Linked DNA regions of Arabidopsis thaliana. The protein of the gene in region 1 purifies or fractionates together with the protein of each later gene. This does not show direct contact. Each region holds a gene or a part of one and is shown in the gene's direction. Other genes may lie near its edges.

Region 1 (5,716 bases):
GACTTCTCGTCCTCTTGATGATATCATACCATCTTTGCGCAAAACCCGTAAACTAGCAGGCATGTCTTTTCTTTCTTTTTTCTTTTAAATATCCCTCAGTTTATTGCTAACTTGACATTGGCGCAGCGAAGTTTTCTTACCATGGCTTTTCTTATTGTTTATCATTTTCCAGAACTATTGGATATGCCTCTCATGTCTATAACTTCAGCTTGGGAAAGCGGGGAGTTATTTAGATGCAATTTCACAAGAACAGAGGTACAATCTTTTTAAATCGTTTGACCTCGTGTCCTACTACCTGATATATGGATTAAGGCTATTTCTTATGGTGATTATTGGATCTTTGATTATTGGTTATGGTGATTCTGAAAGCTTTTGGAATGTACTTGGTTACAGGTACAAGATTTCATCAAAGCTATATTTACAGATTCGCCGCTGAGAAAAGAATGCTTATGGAGGATAGACGAGGTTAACCAGTAGATTGGAAATGATAAAACTTAAAAAAAAAACTCAAGACTTGTGAGAAGAAGCAAGTGAAAGCCTATTTTGGCAAAAGAGCCATGAGGTATTTTAATGTCAGCAGCTTGTAACATCGACGACGCACTCTTGTGTAAGAATATATATGTAAAGAGAGTTTTAGCTGATGAGTTTAAAACTTTAGGTTTAAAAGCGTGTTCCAGATTTTGTTGTACATTTGGGCTTTAGATTCAACAAGTAAAACGCTCTGGGTAACAACAATTTTCCGGTACAAATTCTCCAAATATTGCATTTTCCAGTTAGCTAAAAACTTGAAAACCCTTAACTAAGAAACTAATATAAAAAAAATAAAAATAAAAAAGAAGAAACTGATAGGATATTGAAAACCGTAACACATGAAAACACTAAATATTTCTATGAAATTATTGATACAATGATTTTCAATGAAATTAAACTTTTGATATACTTATTCAAATATAATGTATGATGTGTTTAGATGCTAATATTATATTAAAAACTATTTCATAAACTAATATTAAGTTATGAACACTAGGAAAATATTTTGGTCTCATAAACCAACAAAATTACATTAAGAAATAGAGTTAAGAGACATTGGTATTTTTCCTTTTTTTTTTTTGTCGACATTGGTATTTTTCCTTATGTTGGCCACATGTTTAAAATGTTAACAAAATCACATAACGGTCATAATTAAGGGCCCGAAAAGGAAAAATTTCATTAGAAGATCTTATTAGATTTAGTGATCTATCAAGAACTTGAGATGACGTCATATATTTCTATTTAATAACACCACACATCTATCTATCTCTACCTTCTCTCTTACTTTCAAGTTTCCATTCTCACGCTCATTGTCTTTCCTCTAGCTCTCTTTCTTTCTTTCTTCTTCCCCATCTTTAGGTTTCTTGCGTACAACGTTACAAATTCTTTTTACAATTTCCCATGTCTTCCAGAGAATCGAAGAGAATGGATGAATCTGATGATCCTAGGGTTTCAGAGTCGAGTGAATTCTCAAACTTCGAGATGTTGATACAAGTCGCTGTCATGGTTTACGATCATGAGTACGGTACTCATGACGAACACAAGTCAAAGACCATTGACGAAGATACAGAGACAGAAGCAAGAATCTTTGGAGATACAATACCTAGAAAGAACAGAACTCACCGATCATCTTCTTCTTCTAACAAGACGATAACACCATGGACGCGTGTGATCGAACAACAGAGATCATCTGAACTACAAAACCCTAACCCGGAATCTGAACCTTCTTCTTCCTCTTGCGTTACCCACTTCAAGAAACGTCGCCACATGGACAAAGAAGAGAGTACTCGCAAGAGACTCAAAATCGATAGTCCTTTAGAGGTGGAACCAATTCAAACATCACCACCGGAATGGCTTTTGAAAGTAATGAAGAGAGAAGAGAACAGCTACAATCCAAAATTGATCTCAACGAGAAAACTCTATAAGACTGATCTCGCTAGTCTTCAAGCACGTCTCTCAGTACCTTTTAAACAAGTGAAAAGTCCAGACTTTTTAACAGAGGAAGAAACAAGAATCATAAAGGAACAAGCTTTCTTCCTCTAAACTCTTTGGTCAATTCCTTCTTCTTTCTATTCGATTGTGATAAGATCTTTCTAGAGATCTAATCAGAACCTTGTGCCGCGGATTTGGAGAAACATCATCATCATCGTCATAGAAATCCTGCTCTTTCTTCGATTCTGTAAGAGTTCTTCGAGCAGACTCTAGATTCGATTTGTTTTTTTCCTTTTCGGGTTTGTTTCAAATCAATCTCAATTTCAGGGTAACCAAAGTTTGAGCTTATTCATTTTGATTCTGCCCGGATCTCTATACATGTCAATTACAGTCTTTTTACATTTTCTTGATTTGGAAACCTTTTCGGGATTTAATTGATTAGCTTAAGATTACAAGTGATGAAAAAAAAGACAGAGACTTTAGCAAATGTTTTCTCTCATCTCTTAATTGCTGTCTTAATTACAATCTTCTTGTTTCAGTTACTGTTTTGTAAGACATTGACATTATAATCTACTTGTTTGGAGATTGGAATTATGAGAAGAGAATCTTTCTGATGCCAAATGTCATTGAATAATCATTTGCTAATGTTTCTTTTACCATATGATTCATGATCTCTTTTTCGTTTTATGTTGCAGCGACTAAGCTTTGAAATCTGCTTGTTCCTTGAAAATGGAACTACAAGATGCTATGAATGATGAGAATGAGAAAGCCCCTGAGGCTTCGGTGGTTCAGAATGATGAAGTTTCCGGGAACAATGGGGATGTAGTGGTTGAAGCTGAGGAAAAGGATGGGAATGAGGTTGTAGAACCCGTTGATTCAGGAAAAAGTAAGGCAGATGACGAGTTTGTTGAAAGTCTGTTGGATACCAATCAGGATTTGGCTACCTTCAAAATACCGGTAGAGGAAAATGATACGGAAAATGTGACTGTTGAAGAACCTTCTCTTCCTGCCTCTGTTGAAGCAACTTCTTCTGGAATGAAAAAGCCTCAGGGTTTACCAGCGAAAACTAAAATTGTTAAGAAAGTAAAGAAGCTGGTAAAAAGGAAAATTATAAAAGGCACTGCTGCTCAGGTGGCTGGTGAGGAGAATGTCATCAAGGAAGGTGAACAAAGTGGAGAGCCTTCTCTTGGCGAAAGCGAAAAGGACAAAGATTCAGAACCCTATCTTGGAGGAAACGATATGGAATTTCAGAAAGAATTAGCAGTAGCTACTCAACCTGCAGTTGATGTTAAAGTTGTTGGAGGGGAGCCTTCTGGTAAGGAAACACTAAAAGAGGTAAAGGGAAAAGCTAAGAGACAAAGGGAAAAAAAATTCAAAGGTACTCTTGCTCAGGGGATGGATAAAGAGAGTGCAATTGATAAGAGAGACGTCGGAGCTTCTCCAGGAGGAAACTTGATCGTAGCTAAGAAAGCTATTGACGGTTCTGTAGAAGCCAAAACTGGCTTGACTGAAGACAAGAGACGCAAAAGGAAGAGACCAACAAAACAGGTTAGAGATTCAAACAAGAAACTTAGGCAAGATGTAGTAGCTGGTGCTGATACAACAGAACAGGGAATGGAAGAGAGGAAAGAGCAGCCGGTTGACCCTGAGAAAAGAGAAATGGATGGGCCTGGGAAAGTAAAGATTGGTGGATTGATCTTCATGTGCAATACAAAAACTAGACCCGATTGTTTTCGGTTCAGTGTAATGGGTGTACAAGAGAAAAGGAAGGATTTTGTCAAGGGTATCAAGCCTGGGCTTAAGCTTTTTCTTTATGATTATGATCTCAAACTCCTCTATGGAATTTTTGAAGCATCCTCTGCTGGTGGTATGAAACTTGAGCGCAATGCTTTTGGTGGATCCTTTCCTGCTCAGGTAACATTGTGTGTCACCCATGTTTGTTAGCCGTTTTCCATTTGTACAACTTGTCTCGAAGATGATATCAGTTTTCTTTCGTCGGAATTTATTTAACTTACGGATCTAGATGATGATATTCTTTGGATTCAGGTGCGCTTTAAGGTTTTTAGTGATTGCATCCCATTGGCTGAGAGCCAATTCAAGAAAGCAATCATAGAGAACTACAATAATAAAAACAAGTTCAAAACAGAATTGACTCATAAGCAGGTGACCTTCATATTTTCATCATTTTCTCTAATTTATATCTTACTATTAACACGTCTTAATCACTCTGTTCGTCTCTTCTATTATGGTGTTCTTAAAGGTATTTAAGCTTAAAAAGCTTTTTCGGCCAGCTGCGATCCCTGCACAAGTTACCCACACCCAGCAAATCCCTGTTCCTCGTGATACTGACAGGAAAAGATCTGATAGAGACCGGTATGCCCCTGGTAGCAGTAGGGGTCACCCAACACGCAAACATGAAAGAAGACGTGCTTCACCTCCTCCACGCAGAGAAGAACAACCGCGTGATTTATATCTTAGTGAAAGGGAGTATCGAACATATGGCTTGAGAGGAGGAGAAACAACCCAGCATTACCAAATTCCACCTCCAGAATCCTCTTCTTCTTACCACATTGTCAACCGAGACCGTGTTCATTTGGATTCTTACCGTTCATCTATGGACCATGACCGGCTTTTGAGACAAGCAGAGATTGAGAGGCATGACCGTAGGGAAGTTCGTCACCCTCATTTGTCTGAGAGAGACTACCAGACGTATGATCATCTTACTTCTAGACGGGAAATCTTGGTTCGAAACTCGCCTGACCCACCAGATTCAGCGGTTACTCTGGATTCCTACAGGAGAGATCCGTATTACATTTGTGAGCGCCATGCTCTTGAAAGACCACCAAGGACATACATGGTTTCTCCAGGTAGACAAGATGATGACCTGTATTCCCGGTATGTAACACCGGATTCATTGGCTGAGTACTACCGATCATCACAAAGATACCCAAGCGTAACTGAACCTGAGCTTCCGCCTTCGTTAGTAACATCCCGGTATGCTTATTCTCGGTCTTTGCCTTATTCTCACCGCTGAAATCAGAATGTGTAATTCTCCTATTCCTTTGAATTTATCTGATGTTTAATGTATCTTGGATATGGATACTAAAGAGTTGCTGCCAAAGGGTTCGACTTAAATTTGGTCGTTATACCAGTGGGTTTCTTCAAATAATATCTCTTCTATCTAATAGATAGTGCTAGAACCAAGAATACTAGTCAATGATTGCCTGTTCATATTGCCAGAAGTAAGAGGATTGATACTTCATAGTGCTTAGTTGATATAAGAAGAAATCCGATATAGGTACTAAAATCCTCAAATCGACATGCATGTTGTGGATTGCTTCAAGGATAACATGAAACTCCACTGAAAAACTAGCAATGAACTCTAATATAACTCCAGCATAGATTCTCTGTTATGTGTCTATCGTAATACAAAATCCGTACATGTTCTATCTCTTGAAATGCTCTTACTTTCTTTTCAAAAATAAAAAAGGGTGAAATACATTCAGCGGTTCAGATCCCAAAAGTAGCAAAATCCCCTTGGATTCTTCACAACTCATCCTTAGAACCAACAGCATCATCACCTCCCATGAGCTCATCAAGTGAGAATTCATCTTCCTCAATCAACTCTCCATCTTTACCATCCCACTCCTTTGTCTTCACGATCTCTGGTGTTCCATTCATTGGCACATTTCCTTTTCCACCGGTTCCAGCATCTTTCACAAATTCTCTGATGAAATAACACGAACAATGATTA
Region 2 (4,165 bases), on another chromosome or scaffold:
AACTAACCGGATTTTGGATCCCATCATTGATCGTTAGCGATTCCAAAAATTCAGCTTGTCTTCCCATCGTTAAGTAGATTTATAATACAAGTTTCTGTTGATCCTTCTTGGTACCCTCGACTTGAAACTCACTACACATATGGATCATGTTCGGTGTCTTGTTTCAATCTTTAGACAAAAGAATACCCACGGCTTAAAACATTATGTCTTTAGACAGAGACTCGAGGTTCGAAAGTAACCAATCTTTTGTCAAAAAGATTGGATTTGGTTATGTTTGGTGCAAGGAAAATGGTACCCACGGCTTTAAACTTTAGTCTTTCGAGTGAACTGAAACTTGAGATTCCAACATTGATTCTTTTGGTACCCACGGCTTGAATATCTTTAGACATATGGATCATGTTCGGTCTCTTGTGTCAGTCTTTAGACAAAGATCAAGTTACCCACGGCTTAAAATAGTCAGAGACTTGAGGTTCGAAGTAACCAATCCTTTAGACAAAAGATTGGATTGGATTGGCTTATGTTTTGGTTGATGAAAAATGGTACCCACGACTTCAAACTTTAGATTGAGACTTGAGATTAGAACATTGATCCTTCTTTGGTACCCACAGTTCAAAAATCTCTAGACATATGGATCATGTTCGGTTTCTTGTTTCAGTGTTTAGACAGAGTTGGATAATAATGGACGATGTTGGGTTATGTTTGGATAATAAATTTACAAGACCAGATTTTAAACAATGGAAATTTGGATAATAAATTTACAAGACGATGTTGAATAACCGGTTTTGGATCCCGTCATTGATAGTTAGCGATTCCACAAATTCAACTTGTTTTTACATCGTTATGTAGATTTAGAATACAAGTTTGTGTTGAAAAAAAATATATACAAGTTTCTTATTTTTTTAGAAAAGATTCCCAAATTTTTCCATACGTTTAGCATGCTACCAACCTTGTAAGAGGGTTCGTCGTTGTGTGAGATTAGTGTAATTTGTTATGGGATCAGGATCAACCAATCAAGATTTCACCAACTTGCTAATATGTGAAAGACAGACAAATAGAGTAACAGTGAAGACTGAAGATGATGGTTGTGATGTGATGAACAAGTTCTAAAATATTTAGGTCCAAAAGATCTTCCCATGGAGCTTGGTTGTGAAAGTGCTAACTGAGATTTCTCCAACATGCACACATTGTTGCAAAAGCTTCCCCCTGCATTTTATTATACAAACAAACAAACAAAAATGTCACCATAATGGATGAATGTTTGTTCACCATGAGTATGCGACTTATTAACATATTACATTTTAGCATTACTACATCCAAATACTTCAACTATCATCATATATTGGAAATTTGGATTGATGGCTTGAGTCATAAAAACCTACAAAAGGATTGGACGATACTTTTAGTAAAATCTCTTAAAATTGTCCGCAGTGACCAAAATGCTAAAAAGCTAGAAGGATATACAGACTTTTATCTTACTTTATGTATCAGAAAATCAATATTTCTTAATAAATATGATAAAGTGTTTCAGTTTATTTTGAGTTTAGAAAAAGCCAAATGAATTGGAATCAAAATAATGTAGGTAAAAAAGAGAAGTGGAATTAAAATAAAATCATTCTATCCAATCAAAACGGTAAGTAGTTGTGCGTTTTAGAGGCAAAACACCACAGCGTTTCGAAGCACGTGGATGTGTCGTGTGATACAGCAGTAGCGCACTATTGGGCATTGAGAATACATAATCATAACCCCTGCAATCTAACGGTCAACCTTTTAATAACCCTTGTAGGTTAAATCTCTACCGTTTATTCGAATTACTTTTCCAAGGTAAGAAAAAAGCAAACACAAAAGGGAATATCAAACAACAAAAAAGTAAGAAAGAGCGGTAAGACAGAGACGGAGAAGAAGGAGAAGAAGATTGTTAAGACGAAACCCTGTTGCTGTCCGTACAATGCCGCCGAAGAAGAGTAAGGCAGATGGAGAAGAAAAGGCGAAACCTTTAACGACGTTGGCGTCGTCTAGAGTGACTCGGAGCATGGACAGTCGAACTCGAAGTCAGACTCAACAAAACGGTGCTAAAGCGGCTGGATCCGCCACTAAGCCGGCGACGAAGAAGGCTAAGAGGAAGAATTCAGCGATTGAGACTGGGAGAGCCAAGAAGGGAAAGAAGGAAGAGGAAGTTGAAGAGCCAGAGGAAGCCGTTGAGGAGGAGGTTGAGAAGGAAGAGCCAGAGGTTGAGGACCCTACGAGAACCAAGATTGTTATAGAACACTGGTAATTTTTGCGTAAATGTTTTCGATTTCTTTAGAGATAATGTTTGGAATCATAAGAGCAAAAATTTAGGTTTTTTTCTTTGAAATTGAATCTAAAAGCCTACAACTTTGGGGTATGTGTTGAGACTTGTGTGTCCGTGTGTAGCAGCTAAGGTTTATTTGCTAGGGTGGAACAATGTGTTAGGTTTTCATCTTGATTCTGCATAAGTTTTTGGTTTGAGTGATTAGTGGTTTATGTTTTGCTCGCATTTGTGAAGAGGACTTGACTATCTGCTTTCTGTTTGTGTTCTTGTCTTGCTTTAGCTGAATTGCAATGCGTAATGGACGTGTTCATTCTATAAATGGAATTTGCTTCTATACTTATGTCTCACAAGAGTTCTTTTTTGTTTTGTTTTGTGATGTTATTGAAGTAAACAATGCAATGCTTTCAAGACAAGAGCTATTCAGGTGAAGGAAGCTTTGGAGGGAGCTGTTCCTGGCGTCACGGTGTCTCTTAATCCTGAAAAGGTAATGCTTTTACTGCAGATGAATATATCGTCATGAATGCTCCGTTTTGACTAATGCGTTAGAGCATACTTTTCACATTATACTTGATAAGATTTTCTTCTAAATTACTAATTCTTTCTTTTGATGTGCTTGAACAGCCAAGGCGGGGTTGCTTTGAGATCCGGGAGGAAGGTGGCCAAACATTCATCAGTCTTTTGGTAAAAACTTTCATTCTAATAAAAACAAATCTCAATTTGTCTCGCTTCTGCATATGATTTGTTCAGTTTGAGTAAGGTTTATTGTTATTACTAATTCTCATAACACCACTTGCTCTATATGCATATGAGAATGAAAATCAACTTGATCCTTATTCATTACGAGAAATGTGTTATTGTGAGTAGAAATCATGAATATGTTTTTGCCTTTCAATCTTAACATAGACCTAAAGATGTAGATTATGTTTATCTCATTTTGTAGGAGATGAAACGTCCATTTGCACCAATGAAGGCACTTGATATGGAAGAAGTCATCGAGGACATCATAAAGAAAGTCAAATGAATCTGTTCTTTGTTTCTGCCTCGGTCTCAGTTTAATCAATTAGGTTTCTGCAGAAGACTTTCTAGAGTAATGTCAGATTTGTTAGGTTCACTTTTATTGTTTCGGTATGAGCACTGTAAGTGCAGTCTCGTCGTTTGGCAATGCATGATTAGTTGATAGAGAAGGATCTCTGTAGTTTTTGGGGTTAACTCGTATTTGTAAGGCTAGTTTATTATTCATCTCGTTGCTTGAAGCAAACCGATGCATAAGTGTTTTTTGTTGTTGGGACCATGCATGGTTCTAACAATCTATGCACTGGTTAAAGCATGTTCTAACACAATTAGAACTGTGTTACAAAATCAATAGGACAAACATCACATTTGCATTCAAAATGGCTGATAAATACAATGCATGATGAGTAGAAAGCTCATTACATTTAGGTTTCTTTCACTTCCAATGGCCGTGTCTCTCTTCTTGGCTAAAAGCTACAGAAAAATTGTTTTGAATCTCACCTACCATTATTGTCTTTAACCCACATCACCCGAATCTTAGAACCCAGCAAAGCTAGCCAAAAATGCTAACAAGAGAATAACATCAAAGCTCCAACCAGCCTTAGAAGCAGAAGAAGATGGTTTAGCCTTATCAGCAGCTTCAATCTTCTCATTATCGGCGCTTGGAGCAGGAGCTGGAGAATCAGCCTCTGGTGTGTCTGTTGCAGGTGCAGGTGGAGTTTTTGGGACAGCAGAATCTGGGGAATTGTCATCAGCAGCTGGTCCTGGAGCTGGAACCACTGAAGCATCCATGGGAGTTGGATATGGAGCTACATGAACGTATGGTGGTGGAGGTGGGAAAATTGCAAGGCTGAGTCCAGGAGC
Region 3 (5,651 bases), on another chromosome or scaffold:
TATATATACATATGTTCTAGTGATAATGAATTTTTTCTGATGAATGTCCAAAGATAAAAATCATCGGGTTTAGACTATTTTATGTAGTGAAGAGATCGTTGCTCTTTGTGATATTGACGGTGATGGAAAGATAACGGCCAAAGAGTTCCATTTGAAGATGACCCGGATTGGGAATACTTATAGGAGTTCTGATACATATAATGATGGTTATTGAGTTTGAGGAATTTAAGGCTAATATTGTTTAGTTACTTATTAAAAGGTAATATACTTGTTCACCAAGTAGTGTCTTGCTTATATTCATTGTTTAGAGGTTTCTCAACTTGCTATCAATGATACATTCGGCCCAAATTTTTGTGTTGTGGTGGACCTGGTTGCATTTGTTGACTTTAGTCAGCTTGGGCATTTATCCATTTGTGGACATCATTGTTACATTGTAGACCTATGAGATTGATAATATTTATGGTTAAACATTATTATATCGTTTTTCAATTTCCAGATGCGCCAAACCATCCCAAAAGGTAGAAGTCGGATATATGTAACAGAATGATTTGGAGTTATTGAGATTTGGACTTAAGATCATTCGTTAGGCTGAATAGAGCAGTCCATAGAATCCCTGAACATCTCCAATTAGCGTAATCTCAAGTGAAGAATAGAGACTTGGCCCTTTAGATGTCATGCTTATTCTGCACAAACTCAAATAATTCGTTTGTTTTCTTCCAAATTGCTCTAGTAAACTCAAATATTTGTTTCCTCCTCCAATTTTTGTTATCTCTAGGATTCTATGAATATGCGTTTTATTCAAATATTATTAAGAATGTCTCATAGTTAACCTTTTGAGTTGAACACTTATAATAATTGGCACACACATATATATATATATATATATATATATACTGTAACCAGTAGTTTTTGTTTTGCAACTTTGCAAAAACACAAATAATCATCGGCGAATAAGAAATGATTAACCGTAGGAACAGACTGAGCGATGCGTATGCTCTCGATGCCACCATTTGTTTCAACTTTGATGATCAGTTGACTTAAAATCTCTGCACATAGAATAAAAATATATGAAGACAAATCATCGCTTTTGTCGAATTCTCCATGAAAGCTTCCAATTTTCATAGGAAGTGCCATTTACGAGGACATAGTATGAGATGGTGTTAATGTTCATCATAATCCAAATAAATGTTAAAACATTAAGAATATGAAAAAATGATTTGTTATAAATGTAGATAATGAAATTATAAATCTTATTCTAGAAAAATTTTAAATATAAAAAATGAAAACTTTTTTGAAAACTTTCAAAATTAGATAAGAAAATTGTTTATATATAATTTATTATGGTACATGAATAGAGAATTAGAATAACAAAACAAAAAGTTGAAAGAAACACAAAATGAAAAGGCTATACAAGAGAATTTAAATCAGCCATGACGAGAGAGTAACCCAATTAGACTATGGTGATTTAAATCTAAACTTTTTATTTTAGAAAGTTTATATTAAAGAATATAAATTTGAATGTTTGTGGTGTGAAAAAATTCAACTTACCTTTATTGGTTATGTATATATGGATTGAAAAATGAATAAGGAGTTCAAATATATTTTCTGAGCTTAATTTTTTTAAATCATATTAGTGTCATTTTGCGTAGTTTAACAAAGAATCTCGATGAAAATTTAGCGTTGTAAATTTATTTCGTTAAGCAACTTAACGAAGTGTCTTATTTCAAAAAGTCAATAAAATTAGCTATTAAAAATTTAAAACAAAAAGTGAATTAAAATTTGAGTTTTATTTTACCTAAAACAGTATTAACGTGTTTATAATAGCACTTTTTAACTGTTGGAGATTTTCTTTTTCTTTTTTTTGAATTAGAGTGAGATAGTGATCAAGAAAATGAAGAAGGTGTTAGTGCACATCATATAATCCAAGTAAATGTTAAAACATAAAGAATATGAAAAACTGATTGGTTAGAAATATACATTTTTTTTTGTAAACCGATATTAAGTAGAGAATTTAGTATAAAAAATCTTGTTCTAGAAATTTATTAGTATAAAGAAATGAAAGCATGTTTAAAAACTTTCAGAATTAGAAAAAAAATGTTTACATATAGTTTAATATGGTACTTGAATAGAGAAGCAGAAAAACATATAAAAAAAATTGAAAGAAACACAAAACTCAATTTTAATAACAAAAGCAAAAAACGCCACGTCATCGATCCGTGTCGTAAATCAGCACCAAAATACACTTTCAACGGTCAGATTTTAACTATCTCATCTGTCGTCATTTTCGATCTCTCTCTTACACTACTACACACACTCTCTCTCCTCCAACCTAACTATTTTTTATTTTTTATCTTCTCCTTCCACAAAACTTTTTTAATTTTATCTGAAAAATTAAAACAACCGAAACAAAAAAAAAAAACTAAAAATCAAAAATCTCATCACCTTCCTTGCTCTGTATTTTTTCTCTCTCACTAAATCCTCCATGGATCCTTCTCTCTCTGCAACCAATGATCCTCATCATCCTCCTCCTCCTCAGTTCACATCTTTCCCTCCTTTCACCAACACCAACCCCTTCGCCTCTCCAAACCACCCCTTCTTCACCGGACCCACCGCCGTCGCGCCGCCAAACAACATCCATCTCTATCAAGCAGCTCCTCCGCAGCAGCCACAAACATCTCCAGTTCCTCCTCATCCATCTATTTCCCACCCTCCTTACTCTGACGTAAGCTCTTCTTAGCTCATTCTTACATTTTGACTTTAAAGTTAGGGTTTTTAATTTCCACTCACTTTTTTTTTTCGTTGATTAGATGATTTGCACGGCGATTGCAGCGTTAAACGAACCAGATGGGTCAAGCAAGCAAGCTATTTCGAGGTACATAGAGAGAATTTACACTGGGATTCCTACTGCTCATGGAGCTTTGTTGACACACCATCTCAAGACTTTGAAGACCAGTGGGATTCTTGTCATGGTTAAGAAATCTTACAAGCTTGCTTCTACTCCTCCTCCTCCTCCTCCTACTAGTGTAGCTCCTAGTCTTGAACCTCCCAGATCTGATTTCATAGTCAACGAGAACCAACCTTTACCTGATCCGGTTTTGGCTTCTTCTACTCCTCAGACTATTAAACGTGGTCGTGGTCGACCTCCAAAAGCTAAACCAGATGTTGTTCAACCTCAACCTCTGACTAATGGAAAACTCACCTGGGAACAGAGTGAATTACCTGTCTCTCGACCAGAGGAGATACAGATACAGCCGCCACAGTTACCGTTACAGCCACAGCAGCCGGTTAAGAGACCGCCGGGTCGTCCTAGAAAAGATGGAACTTCGCCGACGGTGAAGCCAGCTGCTTCTGTTTCCGGTGGTGTGGAGACTGTGAAACGAAGAGGTAGACCTCCGAGTGGAAGAGCTGCTGGGAGGGAGAGAAAGCCTATAGTAGTCTCAGCTCCAGCTTCAGTGTTCCCGTATGTTGCTAATGGTGGTGTTAGACGCCGAGGGAGACCAAAGAGAGTTGACGCTGGTGGTGCTTCCTCTGTTGCTCCACCACCACCACCACCAACTAACGTAGAGAGTGGAGGAGAGGAGGTTGCAGTCAAGAAACGAGGAAGAGGACGGCCTCCTAAGATTGGAGGTGTTATCAGGAAGCCTATGAAGCCGATGAGAAGCTTTGCTCGTACTGGAAAACCCGTAGGAAGACCCAGAAAGGTAAAATATCATTCCTTTTTGTCTCTGCGATTACACAGTGATTATAGAGAACTTGAATATTTCTAGTCAAATAGATAAGAGAATAAAAGTTGGAACTTTTGTCTTGTGAATAAATGTCACTTTCCATTCTCAACATTGTCTCTTTCGAGCGTGTGTGTGGAGACTAGAGAGTATCTAACTAAATAAATTCTAGAGTTTAATTTATATTCGTGTCTCTGCTTTTGGCCTATACTTAATCTGGTTTTGTGGTGTACTATTAATCTAAGATATCTCTTTGTTTGGTAATCAAGAGCAACTTGGTAGGTGGCTCGCTTTAGCAACCAATAATTGTTCAGTTGAAGTGTGAGAATTACATATGAACTTATCTTTTGAGACAGACATCTTATCAAGTTTTGTCTGTTTTAAGCAGAAATTTAGTTAATTCAGTCAAAGTTCAAGAGTTTGTGTATTTCCAAGTCCACTAGAATTTCTTTGTCTATTATATTGATGAGTTAGTTATCTAATTACATTTATATTATTGCCATTTATAAACATAGAATGCGGTGTCAGTGGGAGCTTCTGGACGACAAGATGGTGACTATGGAGAACTGAAGAAGAAGTTTGAGTTGTTTGTAAGTAATCTAATGAACAGAAACACAATATGGTCCGTCCTTGGTTTTGATACTTAATTGCTTATGCTTGGTTTTGATATCTCATTTATGCAGCAAGCGAGAGCTAAGGATATTGTAATTGTGTTGAAATCCGAGATAGGAGGAAGTGGAAATCAAGCAGTGGTTCAAGCCATACAGGACCTGGAAGGGATAGCAGAGACAACAAACGAGCCAAAGCACATGGAAGAAGTGCAGCTGCCAGACGAGGAACACCTTGAAACCGAACCAGAAGCAGAGGGTCAAGGACAGACAGAAGCAGAGGCAATGCAAGAAGCTCTGTTCTAAAGATAAAGCCTTGACATAAAAAGCTAGCAAGTGGTGGGTTTACTTGTTGTGTGTTACATGAAATTTTTAATCTTATAAGGGTGTTTGCAGGAGAAAAACAAAAAGAACAATGTGATGAACTGATGATGATGATTGTGTCTCTAACCAAACAACAAGGAGAGGTAGGGTAATGTCTGTAAAGTGAATTAGGATGTTACCATTGTTCATGCTTCCCATCTCTCTCCATCGTCCATATCTGTGTAGGCAGCTTTGTTCTTTGTTCCCTCGTGTTTTTTTTAGACTGTTGTGTCTCTTATTCTATTTTGTCTCCTTAGGCTTTTTAGGAGTTGTTGTTGATGTTTATCAAAAACGCTTATGTAATTTTTATGACCACTTCTACTTTTTATGATGGTTTCTTCAAGTCTCTTACGTTATGTAGTTAGAAAACCATTAAATAAAAGTTGCTTATGTCAGTTGCTCTGTTTTAATTTGAAATCCGGTTTTAATTTTAAGTGTACTTATTGCAGAAATTAGGTAGAAGGTATAGAACGGTTTTACTCTTCACTCACACACCATTTAACCAAATTTCTAAATTTATTACTCGATAAACACTTTTTTAACAAGTTTTCAATACTTTTCTCCAAAAAAATTTTGAATTTGAAATAAAGTAGTGTATTTTTCGATTTTGGTTTTATAAATCAACTTTTTTTTTTGAAAAAGTTAAAAAGAAATCACCACCACATTTGCATGTTATACTATAATACCAAAAAATTAATATTCGTGATTTATTTTAAAAATCTGTGAATTAAAAAGAAAAATGAAATGTTGATAAATAAAAATAAAAACAAGGAGTAAAGGTGGACCCATATCGGTTGACGCAACTGATTCTGAACCTCTCGGTCGTTCGTTTCTACTCTTTCCAAGCTCTAGCCCATGGTGGTGACCTTCTTCTTCTAACCGCGAAAACCATCTCTATCTCTCTTATCTTTCTTCTCCGCCAAGTTTCTCTTTGTAATTTCTTTCTTCTTCCTCCAGA

What was found.
Region 2: the proteins of AT2G32910 (region 1) and AT4G31360 fractionate together in Arabidopsis thaliana (co-fractionation; one large-scale study listed by BioGRID). This does not show direct contact.
Region 3: the proteins of AT2G32910 (region 1) and HON5 fractionate together in Arabidopsis thaliana (co-fractionation; one large-scale study listed by BioGRID). This does not show direct contact.

The regions. Positions count from the first base shown.
Region 1 is NC_003071.7:13,956,994-13,962,709, forward strand, and holds AT2G32910 (DCD (Development and Cell Death) domain protein), read left to right. Parts: upstream 1-2,073; 5' UTR 2,074-2,209; intron 2,210-2,657; 5' UTR 2,658-2,691; coding exon 2,692-3,876; intron 3,877-4,008; coding exon 4,009-4,125; intron 4,126-4,222; coding exon 4,223-4,996; 3' UTR 4,997-5,125; downstream 5,126-5,716. Other genes in the region: ATZW10 (centromere/kinetochore protein, putative (ZW10)), read left to right, coding at 1-59, 173-255, 394-477; AT2G32905 (B3 domain protein, putative (DUF313)), read left to right, coding at 1,432-2,073; PDIL2-3 (PDI-like 2-3), read right to left, coding at 5,509-5,689.
Region 2 is NC_003075.7:15,220,000-15,224,164, forward strand, and holds AT4G31360 (selenium binding protein), read left to right. Parts: upstream 1-1,843; 5' UTR 1,844-1,945; coding exon 1,946-2,268; intron 2,269-2,677; coding exon 2,678-2,774; intron 2,775-2,911; coding exon 2,912-2,971; intron 2,972-3,230; coding exon 3,231-3,311; 3' UTR 3,312-3,628; downstream 3,629-4,165. Other genes in the region: FLA5 (FASCICLIN-like arabinogalactan protein 5 precursor), read right to left, coding at 3,839-4,165.
Region 3 is NC_003070.9:17,973,133-17,978,783, reverse strand, and holds HON5 (high mobility group A5), read left to right. Parts: upstream 1-2,120; 5' UTR 2,121-2,482; coding exon 2,483-2,722; intron 2,723-2,807; coding exon 2,808-3,701; intron 3,702-4,237; coding exon 4,238-4,312; intron 4,313-4,405; coding exon 4,406-4,636; 3' UTR 4,637-5,142; downstream 5,143-5,651.